Mus musculus: one gene and its partners. The protein of the gene in region 1 purifies or fractionates together with the protein of each later gene. This does not show direct contact. Links are inferred from orthologs where the notes say so. Each region holds a gene or a part of one and is shown in the gene's direction. Other genes may lie near its edges. The genes, in order: Slx4, Slx4ip and Pgam5.

Region 1 (3,992 bases):
ACTGCTTGTGGCTGATTCCTCACCATAAGGAAAAGCTGACAGTAGATTGTATTATATAGTATTGCTGTAAGGATTAAATGGGCTAAAGATTTGAAAAGCAATTAGCATAGCATTGGGCATATAAGCTTTCAATGAATGTTATGCCCTGCAAATGATTATAAGCTGTGACAGGTGTCACTGTGGCAACCATGTGTGACAACATGGAGTGAGGTGGGGGAAAGAGCCCATGTGAAGGAGTAGGGGAGACGTCTATAAGATTATTGCACTATGTATTTGGAATGAATAGATTTCTGTCATTGGGTTATATAGGGAGGTGTGAGAGTGTGTGTGTGTGTGTATTCTCATCTGTTAGCCAGATGAGAATGTTGGGTATACTATTTTATCACTGTTGGCTTTCTTGAGACAGGGTCTCTCAGGAGCTTGCAAATTTTCAAGTAGTCTGGCCAACCTTCAAGGTTCAACAATACTCCTGTCTCTATCTCCCCTCCCATCCTCAGCACTGGGGCTACAATAGTGCCTCCACACCTGGTTTTGTTTTTTTTTTAAACATGGGTGCTGGCTATCTAAACTCAGGTTCCTGTCCTTTTCAGTAAGCACACTTACCCTTACTCACCAAGCTGTTTCCCCAGACCCAGATTATTCAGTTTTGATTTTGAACTAGAATATACTGTTTGCCCTAATAAACATTCATGCCTGTAAGAGCCAGCCTTTCTCTGCAGGCAGCTTAGAGAGCTCTTATGGACTCAGAATAGAAAAAAGGTGGCCTTTCTGTCTCCTGAATGTACAAGGATATATATATCCTTTTTCTCCTTATTTCAATCATTTTGCAGCATCTGCTGACTGTCCCATAAGCTGATCAGGTGACAGCTGGAGTCCTGAGGCCACTCGAGATAAGCTCCCTGTATTTGGGGAGCATATATCTGTGTGGCAGCTGCTCTTCATATTTTTCTCCAATTTCAGTAAAAACCACGTGTGTGCGTGCTTATGTGGTGTGTGATATGTCTTGTGTGTGATGTGCTCTGCACTGGGACATCCTGTGGAACAAGTGTACTTGTAACCAGACTGTATTTGGAGACTTTCCTCATACCTGACATCCTCTTGTACACCGTGGGAAAAAATGACATAAAATGGCAGTAGCTGTCTAATTATACTTAGATGCTTTTGGTTTTCCACAGATATAAAATTAGATGAACCTACGCCCTTTATCACTGTGGAGATCTTGGAGAATCACCTGATCACAGAGTTCACATGTGTTCTATCTCAGAGGCAGCTGTTGGACAACAAAATGCTCTCTCACTTGTGAAGTTTTTAAACAACTTATTTAGCTACGGGTCCAAATTGAAGGAAGATATAAAAGTCACATGGAGAGGAGGTCAGTACAAAGTCTCCGAGTAAATCAGAGAGAAGAGTTGCTGAGCTGCAGTGAGGTCAGAGGCGTGGGAAGGCCTGAGTGGGCTCACACACGAGTTCCTCATCTGTGGACATGGTTCCAGGTCGGTCCTCACTCCCCTAAAGACAAACCGGAAACCTTAAAACAGGTCAAGTGATGGAGGAGTCAGATGACGATTTCAAAGAACTCTGTGCCAGCTTTTTCCAAAGGGTGAAAAGAAATGGGACCAAAGAAGCATCAGGAGAGAGGACGAGGCAGAAGGCCTCTGGCCACACTCAGAACCGAGGCAAACGGAAAGAAGGCCGCCAAGTTGCCGCCAGGAGCAAAGCTCTTCAAGGCCCTTCAGAGAAGAAACCTCGATTAGGCAGCCAGACCCCTAGGACTACAAAGCAAGGGGCACCCAAGTCTCAAGAAGGGGGCCCAGCTCTCCCTGCGAATGGGAAGGGAGACGTTCTTGCTCCTACCCCAGATCAGCCAGTGTTGTGTGAGAGAGCACAGAGCATTCAGACAGGTAACCAGGCAGGACTCACTGCCAGATTTGGTTCCAGAAAGGAACCAAACTGATCAATGCTGTTGTTAACCAGGGCTCAGAAAATCTACTATGAAAGCAGATAGCTGGGTGTGGTGGTGCACACATCTAGTCCTAGCACTTGGGAGGCAGAAGGAGGGGAATCTCTGGGAGTTTGTGTCAGCTTAGTGTCTACATACTGAGTGTGGGATAGCCATGGCTATGCAGAGAGAGATCCTATCTCAAAAACAAAAAGGCCAGACAGCAAATATTTTGTTGTTGTTACAGTTCACATGTTTATGTTGCAACAACAATTGACTCTCTTTATCTATGCGATTCCAACTCTGTCCGAAGGTAAACATTTGATAAAAGAAATAATTTGTACTTAATATGTCCAGACTTTTTTTCTCGTTTTCATTCCCTAACAACACCTTGTAGCAACTATTTATATAGCTTTTGCTTTATATTGGATATCACATTAATATATAGGTGAATTAAAGTACACTAGGTATGCACAAGTTAAATGTAGATAGGTAGTAATTTTCAGGGGCACCGAGAACTGATCCCCCCTCGATACAAAGGGTCAACTCTTCCTAATGGCAGCTGTGGTGAGGAAGCAGCCCAGGACGATGTGGAGGTGAATGGGGGCCGCCGTGTGCTGATGAAACTTAATTTACAGAAATAAGCCTAGCCCTACAAGCAGTTTGCCCAGTCCTCTGTGTGCTCCCATGAGTGTGTTTAGAGCTTTGTGCTCCATGAGCTTTTTGTCACTGTTTATGTAGTTGACAGTAGTCATGTCAGCATAGAAATAATGGCACCTTTAGTATATGTGTGAATTGATTTTAAGGTAGGTACATTGGAATGGTCCAGCCAGTTTGCTCAGACTGAGGAGGCTCTCAGAGGATGGGCTGACAGCTTCCTCAGCTATCTATATGCTTCATCTAACCCTTCACACAGAACTGAAAACCAGACTTACATGTAAGATGGGCTCTGCCGGCTCCTGCTTTCTGTTTCCTCACTTTCTCTTCCTTACTGTAAAAAACATTTCTAGTGTGGGTGCAGAGTCTTTCATCGATGGTCTTAAAGTCTGACCTCCTGGAGACTGCTGAAGGACTCTACAGCCCTGCCCAGGCATGCTGGCCATTCAGTCTCTCTCTCTGCAGCCGGTGAAAGGCCTCAGTGATTTGCACATGCAAACCTGCACAGTTAGCCTGTAGCTTCCTGGGCTCCTAGATCTCCACTGAAGGCTGTAGGTGTATCTCAGGTTAAAACATGGGTCTAGGAAGAGATAAACACTTGTCATTAGTATTTCTTTATTAATAACATTATTGAGATATTGCTCATTACATAATTTTAAAGTATACAGTTGAGTGTGTTTAGTACATTCAGCATTATGAATCCATCACCACCACTACATAACTCGAGAGCATATTCGTCACCCCCTGCAGAACCCCAAGCTCAGCAGCAGGCACTGCATCCAGTGCCTTCTGCCGTTGTGTGTTTGCATAGCTGCAGTGAGTGGATGAACAGGTCCATGACTAGTAAAGAACTTTTGGAAATTTGAGTCTAAGCTATACAACAAAACCTGTGAATATTTTCTTCCTTGTCAGAGAGTGCTCCCAATGGCAACTCCCAGCCTCTTCCTTCCTGTTTCACGACAACTGGTGTACCAAGTCCCTCCAAACCCAGAGTCTCAGAGCTGGTTCTGCAACGGATGAAGCAGTTCAAGAGAGCAGACCCTGAGCGCCTGAGACACGCCTCAGAAGAATCCCCCCAAAAGACTGCACTGGGAGACGATGTCCCAAGGAGCCCTCCAGAGGAGACAGTGGGAGAAAATGGTACGGTGAGCATGCTCTGCCTTCTAAGATAAGTTACATTGTGTAGGAGAGGCAGTGCAAGAAGCCGCTGCCTTTATTTCTGTATACAGCTTTCTGTCTGCTCTTTACCTCACCACCTCATTGGAGCTAGCCAAAGAATGGAGTGTCCCTATAAAAACTATTTATGTTTTATTTTTAATTCTGTATACATTATGTATCTGTGTGGGTATGTACATGGGAGCATGGCTACCTGTGGAGGCTGGGAGAGGGTCCTGGC
Region 2 (4,298 bases), on another chromosome or scaffold:
ATCAGATAGTCACATCCTGAAGCTACTTTGTTTTTATTGTTGTTGTTTTGTTTAGTTTGTTTGTTTTCCGAGACAGGGTTTCTCTGTGTAGCTCTGACTGTCCTGGAACTCACTGTGTAGACCAGGCTGGCCTCCAACTCAGAAATCCGCCTGCCTCTGCCTCCCAAGTGCTGGGATTAAAGGCGTGCACCACCACCGCCCCGCTCTGAAGCTACTTTGAAAGCTGTCCTTGGGCCAATCCGGTAGCCAGGTGCCTCTGTATCCCCGCCCCCAAATACCCTTGTCCCAACCACTCGCGACCTTTCCGTGCGGGGACGCGGTGAGGCCGCAGGCTGGCTTCTCCACCAGCGGCCTGGCCCCTCTCACCTGCCCACCAGCAGCTGCACCTCTAGGTCAGGCCACCTTCACCACCAGAAACCAGAAATCGCGCTTGCACAGCAACCAACCACGCAGCGGAGCGCCACCACCTTTGCCCTGCGCGGCAAGAAGGCGCATGCGCAACTCTATGCTCACGCGCACCACCCCTCCTTCCCCCGCCCCTCTTCCGGGGTTTGCGTGAAGCTCCCGCAAAGGAAAGCTGCGGCCGTCACCGGAAATCTTACGGGCAGACGTGTATTCTGTCTGTGCGCGCTACCAAAATTGAAAGGTCACATCACATCACATCACAGCACCAAGAAGGTGGCAGAGCGTGCGGCTCTCTGCTCTCTCGAAAGGTATTTGTAGAACGAATGAAGCTGTTACCAGTCCTAGGTGGCGTTTCCTCTGTTCTGACCAATCACAAGGCGCCTTGCCCTGTCACTCAGTTGTCAATTCCCACCTCTCTCAGGACGCCCTAAGCTGTAGAAACTGGCTCCGCCCTGCCGGTCCGAGTGACGTCAGAGAGCGAACATGCGCAGACAGAGCCTGTCGCCATGCAGGAAACTTCCGCCCAGTCTAGGAGCGGGGTTGGCAGAAGTCGGGAGTCTTCAATTCAGTGCCGGATCCGGTTGGTTAATTTCCTTGGCTTTGCCTTTCTTTTTTTTTTCTTCAGAGATAAGTCTTTTATTCTTTTGAACCACCCGAAGCATTATGAAATTATGTTTAAACATATTTTATTTCGCTTTTCTCTGGCACCGTGAAAGGCACCTTTATTTTTCAACGTATCTTTTAATCTTCCTCATTAAAAATATTTTCTACTCTTGCCCTATAGTTTTGTGATACGAAAAACACGGCTTTTGTTGTTGTTGTCCATCAGTACATATCGTTGACGTACAGTGATACATTATCTGCCAATTGTATTTGTGGCTTTTCCAACCTCTTAAAAAAAAAAAAAAAATCCGCTTTGGCCGCCATTTTTATTTTGGTCTCCATAAAGCGTTGATATCATCGACAGAAGCCATTTTTCGTTTGGGCAGTTCTTTCCGGCTATCCCATTACCTTAGCCAGGGCTTCGGGCGCCATCGTAGGTGCTGGCAGTGGCTTCCAACCGAATGAAGTCGATAATGCCATCTTGTGTTTGGGCGCTGGTTGCATTCTCTAACGTGCGAGGGGACGCTGGGAAACGGGAAGTAAGCCAAAGCTGCTGAAGCTTGGTCTGCCGCCTTTTTAGTCTGAGTTTTCCCGTTCAGGTACTATACTAGTCCACCAGTGACCCCGGACAGTAACAAAGCATTACAGCCCGAACCCACCTCCCGCCACCATCGTAGGTAAGAGCGTGTGATACTTCGTTCGGATAACCCAGCTCTTCCCTCAGTTGGACCGAACTGTTTGGCCATCTTATACCAATACGTATTTTTGTTTTGGATTTTGGGACTTAACACAATTTTTCTCTTAGGTATTCCTTCTCTTTCCATTAGAATTGTTAAACACCACTGTTCAGGAAGACTGAGATTTAAAGGGACAATAACGTTGAGGGAATTTCCGTAGAATAACAAAGCAAAATGGATGGAACAGCAAATTTGATCATTAATTGTATGGCTTTCTGCATCTATAGAGGTGAATATAGCTCCCAGAGGACTTTAAAATGTGATCAGCTGTGTTTGTATATTCTTCCCATTCATTCATTCATTCATTGAATTTGTTGAATACTTAGCTAGTTTTGTGCTATAAAATATAGAAGTAAACTTCAAAACAAAACAAAACGAAACCTCCTTTTCATCCACTTGCTTTGATATATCCAAAGCTGGGACCAGGAACATAATGTTCTAATGTTTTTTTTTTTAGCACTGCTGGACAAGCAACTTCATGTTCTCACTTCTCGTATTTCTTGGATACTGTATATAGCCATAATTGTAAGGCTAATAGTCCAGGTAGCATGGCCTTGTTGCTCAGTGTAATCATCGACCAGCCATCCCAGCATCTTCTGGGAGCATGTTTCTTGGAATGAGTAGAAGCTGCACTTGGGCACAGTATAATAGTGACTTGGAAACTTTGGACTGTGGCTTACCTTAGCTTTTTGTAGCACCAGGCTTTCTTCTGTGTCTTCTTGTATGAGAAAAGAAAATCAGTAGTTCTCAACCTTGGCTGCCCATGACAGTCACCTGGGAAGCTTCTAAACCAGACTTCAGACCAGTTGCAGATAGAAATGGAGACTATGTGGAATATAGATGACACTAAGGTATTTGAGACATGGTTTTCATGCTGTTAGGCGTAAGATTGGTTTTCACCTTCCCTCTTGGCTTTACTTAAAATACCATGGAGACAGGGAGGAGTATTAGGTTGGGTGGGTGTTGAACCAATGTCCCAGTGACTGGTTACCTTGTCAACCAGCTTCCCAGTAATTGTTACTTTGCCATATATGTCTTTTCCTTAGTCTAAGTGGGAAAGAAGAATGAACACCATTTGTTTTACTGAGTCTCACATGAATGTTTCCATTGTGGATATTCATGTTTTATGAGTATGTAGGAAAACATTATTACACTGAAATATTGCTTGTTTGCAATTTTTACAGTGCTACTAAGGGTAGTGATGTAGTGTGGATGGGTAAAAAAATCAGTTCTGAAACGTCTTCCCTGACTGTACATCCTACTTCCTTCACCCCAGCTCCATCTCTGAGATCTAAAAGACAGTTACCCACCCTTGTGCTTGAGTTTCCTAACTTGTAAGGTAGGACTCCTGTGAGAGTTAGCTAAGTTAATACAAGCAATGTGCTTCCTAAGTACCTGGCATGGGCTGGAGAGCTGGCCCAGAGTCAAGAGCTGTGTGCTGTTCTAGACAACCTGAGTTTAGTTCCCAGCACCTATGTCAGGCAGTTCACGATTGCCTGTAACTCCAGCTTCTTGGGAACTCAGAGGTGTCTGATGTCTGCGGGTGCCTACACTCACATGTGCAAAGGTGCACACAGTCACACCCCCATGCACATAAATTAAAAAAATTCTTTTAAGAAGTACCTGGCATATACTAGCAGCTATGAAAATATTACCTGTAGCTGTATATTTTATTATATTATAATTACAAGTTTGGATTATTAAGATTTTATTTATACATTCCCATGACTGAAATTCTTTGGCTTTCCACTTTGTGCATCAATTTGAAAAACAAGGTGGTCTAAATACATTACCCAAGGCCAGGAAGATGATTTTTAAATACATTTTTTAAATCAAAAGATCTTCTTTTAAACATAGCCTTATTGAGATGAAGTTGTAGTACAAATAACAGCATTTCTTTAAAATGTACCAGGTGATGTGTTTTACATATATAAACACTGGTGAATCATCATCACAGTCAAATAATGAACATACCTATCACGCTCCAAAGTTTGATCATGTTCCTTGGTAATTCCTCTAGCTACTTTTTTCTAGGCAGCTGCTGACCTATCAGTATAAACAAGCATTTTCTAGATTCTTATTTCAATTGGAATCTCGTACTATGGTTTTTAATTTGAGAGGGAGTATGAGTAATTATTTTGAGAACCATCTTTGTTATATTGATAGCTCATTTCTTTCTTTCTTTTTTTTTTTCTTCCTAGTTAGTTTTTTTTTTTTTTTTCTTTTGTGGTGCTGCAAATTGAAGTCAGGGCTTAGTGCTTGTTAGGCAAGTGCTTTATCACAGAGCTACAGCCACAGACTCTTCAGCCTGTTTGAATCGCTAACTGCTCTCAGTGTGTGGCTATACAGTCATTGTTACAACTCACTAACTGATAACCATTGAGATTTTTGTTTTCAGTGTGCTCATTTTTGCATAACTATGTTCTTCTCCAGATTATTTCAATAGAAAAAAGTTATTAAAAAAGTTATTTAGTGCTGTCTATATACTATGAAAACAGAAGAATATAGTGGTAAAATATTTTGTGTTGGGATTACCTTTCTCTTATATAGTTT
Region 3 (3,963 bases), on another chromosome or scaffold:
ATCGTCTCATCCAGGCCAGGGGGAGGCTCTCCCTTGGTGGCTCTGCAGAAAACCTGCGATTGATTCAAACGTGCATGAAGGACTGCCAGGATTGGGGCTAAGACCCTTGCCATAACACCCTTTTCTCTTTATATATAAGCCGACTGAAACTCACGTTTCAGTCAGTGTGAAATACAGCCTCTGTATCCTTTTTTTTTTTGGTATGTCAGGCCTTAGAGGGTTTTTGTAAAAAAAATTTAATTTATTTTTATCAATAGTAGGGTAGGCTGAGCTAGGAACACCAAAAGGCTGAGGCTAGAGAGAATAGAGAGCTGAGGTGAAAGAAGGCTGTGGAAAAAACAGATCCTGTTGCTAAGACTTTTAGGGAGCTGTCTAGCCAAAGGACCGCCTTAGCCATTGTGGAAGGCCAAGGGTTCTGAGAATGTCTGAGGTTAGAGGTTCATTCAGGAGCAGTAATATTACCAAATGCCTGCTGCTGTTCATTGTTGCTCAAAGATGAAAATTATAACAGCTGCCAAGTGCTGGGCCGCTTGGTAGTTAAAGCCCAAGCCTGGAGCTGTAAGTCCGTGGGCCTGCCAGTCTAGTCCCTAGGCCTTGGGTACAATGGCCCTGGAAGAGCAGGTGGACACCTTTCCTACACAGAAGGACCCGGTCAATTGGTCAAAAGCAACTAGAGCGGTAAAACTTGGAGGCGCGATGGTAGGTGCCAGGGACTAGGGGTGGGGAATGGAGGGTTGATAGTTGAATGAAGAAGGTTCTTAGGGAAAAAAATGGAAAGAATTCAGGAGGTGAAAGTTGAGAGTATGCATACACTTAAAGATTACAAATGAAAACATAAAAACTTCAAATTGAAGTGCCAAACTTGAGGTTTTTCAATTCATATAAACCCAGTGCCTGCAGGCAGATTTCTGAGTTCGAGGCCAGCCTGGTCTACAGAGTGAGTTCCAGGACAGCCAGGGCTACACTGAGAAACCCTGTCTCGAAAAACCAAAAAAATAAAATAAAATAAATAAATAAACCCCAGTGCCTGATTTCCACCCACTAAAGGGCAGGCATCTGCGCCTGCTACCCTGCGACCACCGGCAGGTGGCGCCCTGGGCCGCGTTTCCTGATTCGTCGGGGGGGGGGGAAGGGGCGGGACTTCCACCAGCCGGAAGCGGAAGTCTGCTCCTGGCGTCCCGCCGTCAGGTCGCGCGATTTGCGGCATGGCTTTCCGGCAGGCGCTTCAGCTGGCGGCCTGTGGTCTGGCCGGTGGCTCGGCCGCTGTTCTCTTCTCGGCGGTCGCGGTAGGGAAGCCGCGAGGTGGCGGGGATGCAGACACGCGCGCGACCGAGCCGCCGGCCTGGACAGGAGCGCGAGCCGGGCGCGGCGTCTGGGACACCAACTGGGACAGGTGCGGGGACGGGAGGTTTGGGCTCGGCCCTGCTTCCTCACCTCCATCCCGGGATGGCGGAGATCGGTGCTCTGAAGGGAAGGGGACGCTGCGTGCTAGTGGGTCTTGAGTTTGTGTGAATCGGTGGCAGTGCCTGGATGGCGCACCTCCCGAAGGTCTTCGCGCCTGGGCCACCCGTCTCTCTGAGGGACCTCTAACCGCCCGGACCCCATACTCGAAGAGTCCTTGTTCAGAGACAGTGCACCAGGTCTTTGTCCCAGGACCACCATCCTCTGTGGGCCTGAAATTCCAAAGGATTAAGTCTTACTCAGAGTCAGGGTCTTGATAGACAGCCAGGTTTGCCTCACAAATTCTCCTCCTGCAGCTTGGGGAAGATTGGGACTGCAAGCATGCTATCCCTTCAGAGGCCAGAGAACCCGTGCGTGAAGTAGAGCCAAGGGTTGGGTTACCCATGGAAGCCGGGTACAGTGGCATGTATAGCGAGTGGCATGCAGCTTTAATCCCAGCACTGGGAGTCAGAGGCAGGCAGAACTCTGAATTCTGGGCTATATAGAAACACCTTGTCTCAAAAAAAAAAAAAAAAAAAAAAGAAAGAAAGAAAAAAGAAATGACCTGATTTTAAATGTTTCATATTTGCTTGCTGTGTCTGCTTACGTGGATGGATTGGTACAGTGGCCTTGTTAGGTGGGGAAGGATGCATGACAGATGGATCAACAAGTGCCGGAAGGGACTAAAAGGGGCATATCCACTTGGTTTCTTTCTGGTATGCCTTCCTCTCTGACAGTCGTCTCCAAATTTTGTCTGGTCCAGCCCCACACACGGCCCTGTAGCTGCAGCAAGACTTTGGCCTGGTCTGTATATGGGACTAACACCCCAGGTTAGCCTGCTCAGATCATGCTTGAGCCGCCACCACCACCCTTTCCAGACCTTCCTCTTCCACCATTGTGTTAATTTGGGCAGCTCTGACTTGTCCTATTCCTGCCTCCTACATTTAACTGAGTAGCTTCAGTTTCTTCGGCTCCTACGTCCACTCCACTAACTACAGTCCTCAACATTGTGATGGCCACTACCCCAGTGACTGCTCAACACTTAAAGTGTGTTTAGTGTGACTTAGAAAAGAGCTCTATTTTTATTTGATTTAAAATTAATTATAGTAATCCCTCTGTATGGTGGGGGATTGGGTCCATGATCCCTGAACATATCAAACTCTGTGGATGTTCATGATAATGAAGTATTTACAGATAACCTAGGCATCTAGCTTATCCTCCTGTATACTTTAAATCATTCCTAGATTATTTATCACACTCAGTACAATAAAATTGCTACCTAAGTAGTTGTTAAAATATATAGCTTGAGGTTTTAAAAAAAAATCACATACAAAAAGGTCTGTTTAGTTCAGATGCAAACTTTTGAGTATTTTTTGATGCCCGGTTGATTGAATATTGAGTGTGGAATCTTGAGCTACGAAAGACCTAAGTATAGTTAGACTTACTTATTCAACCTGGCCTTTTGTGATCCTTCCGCCTCAGCTTTTCCAGAGTGTGAGGAGTCCAGACTTGTACTGTGAGAAAGCACAGCCAAGGTCCTGTGCCTAGTATTTTTAACTTACGTTAGGGATGTTAGTATATGCTCGCTTGTACTCCTCATACTTGGAAGGCTGAAGTAGAATTGTTGTGACGTCAGCCTGAGCTACACTGAGAGGGCCTGTCTTATCACCAGCAGAAGTAGTAAATGAATGAAACAGCCCCAAGACTATTGGAGTCACACAGACAGTACAGTTCTAGGCTCCGCTGCAGTGCAACTATCCACTCTCACATCTCTTGACACTGCTTGCTTATTTGAGGCATCATTGGGTTTCTCCTTTTTTTTTTTTCCCGTCTCATGTGCACGTGTGTGAGATCACATGTGTGTAGGTCTGTGGGAAAGCCCGGGGTAGTTATGGAAATTGTTTCTCAATCATACTTCTGGATTATTGTTTAAGGCATGGCCTCTCAGTCAAACCGAGAACTTGCAACACAAGTAGTCTGACTAGACAGCTTCTTCTAGGGGTCCCGTCTCCACGTTCTGAGGCTGCAATTATAAGTGGGCCATTATACCTACCCAGTATTTATGTGGCTTCTGGACTCTAGTCTTCCTGCTTGTATAACAAGCACTTTAACCTGTGAGCCATCTCTTCACCCAGCCTGTCTTCACCAGGAACATGAACCTGAGGCTTCATGTTATATGCAGGAATAATATATGTATCAACCAGAGCGAGCCTAGCCTTTTCGGGAAGAGTCTGTGAGGCTAGGCTCTCTGGCCTGGGCTTCTCCCCCAGGCCTTTTCCCAAGCACTGAAAGGTGTCTTGGACAAGAGGTCATAAGATAAGACATACTTTTACAATTAGGCGAGAGCCACTGTCACTCATTAACCTGAAGAAAAGGAATGTGGAATCTGGAGAAGACGAGTTGACATCCAGGCTGGATCACTATAAGGCCAAGGCCACAAGGCACATCTTCCTCATCCGGCATTCCCAGTACCATGTGGATGGCTCCCTGGAGAAGGACCGCACCCTGACACCATTAGGTATG

Evidence for each region.
Region 2: the proteins of Slx4 (region 1) and Slx4ip purify together in Homo sapiens (affinity purification with mass spectrometry; 6 studies listed by BioGRID and IntAct, with this or other methods). This does not show direct contact. The link is inferred for Mus musculus from reciprocal best matches to the Homo sapiens genes SLX4 and SLX4IP.
Region 3: the proteins of Slx4 (region 1) and Pgam5 purify together in Homo sapiens (affinity purification with mass spectrometry; 4 studies listed by BioGRID and IntAct, with this or other methods). This does not show direct contact. The link is inferred for Mus musculus from reciprocal best matches to the Homo sapiens genes SLX4 and PGAM5.

Annotation. Positions count from the first base shown.
Region 1 is NC_000082.6:3,998,862-4,002,853, reverse strand, and holds the start of Slx4 (structure-specific endonuclease subunit SLX4), read left to right. Parts: upstream 1-1,175; 5' UTR 1,176-1,248; coding exon of another isoform or gene 1,249-1,372; 5' UTR 1,373-1,483; coding exon 1,484-1,493; exon of another isoform or gene 1,494-1,546; coding exon of another isoform or gene 1,547-1,901; exon of another isoform or gene 1,902-2,535; intron 2,536-3,508; coding exon 3,509-3,736; intron 3,737-3,992. UniProt on the Homo sapiens protein: Regulatory subunit that interacts with and increases the activity of different structure-specific endonucleases.
Region 2 is NC_000068.7:136,890,677-136,894,974, forward strand, and holds the start of Slx4ip (protein SLX4IP), read left to right. Parts: upstream 1-1,491; 5' UTR 1,492-1,685; intron 1,686-4,298.
Region 3 is NC_000071.6:110,267,082-110,271,044, reverse strand, and holds the start of Pgam5 (serine/threonine-protein phosphatase PGAM5, mitochondrial), read left to right. Parts: upstream 1-1,145; 5' UTR 1,146-1,205; coding exon 1,206-1,393; intron 1,394-3,779; coding exon 3,780-3,958; intron 3,959-3,963. UniProt on the Homo sapiens protein: Mitochondrial serine/threonine phosphatase that dephosphorylates various substrates and thus plays a role in different biological processes including cellular senescence or mitophagy. Modulates cellular senescence by regulating mitochondrial dynamics.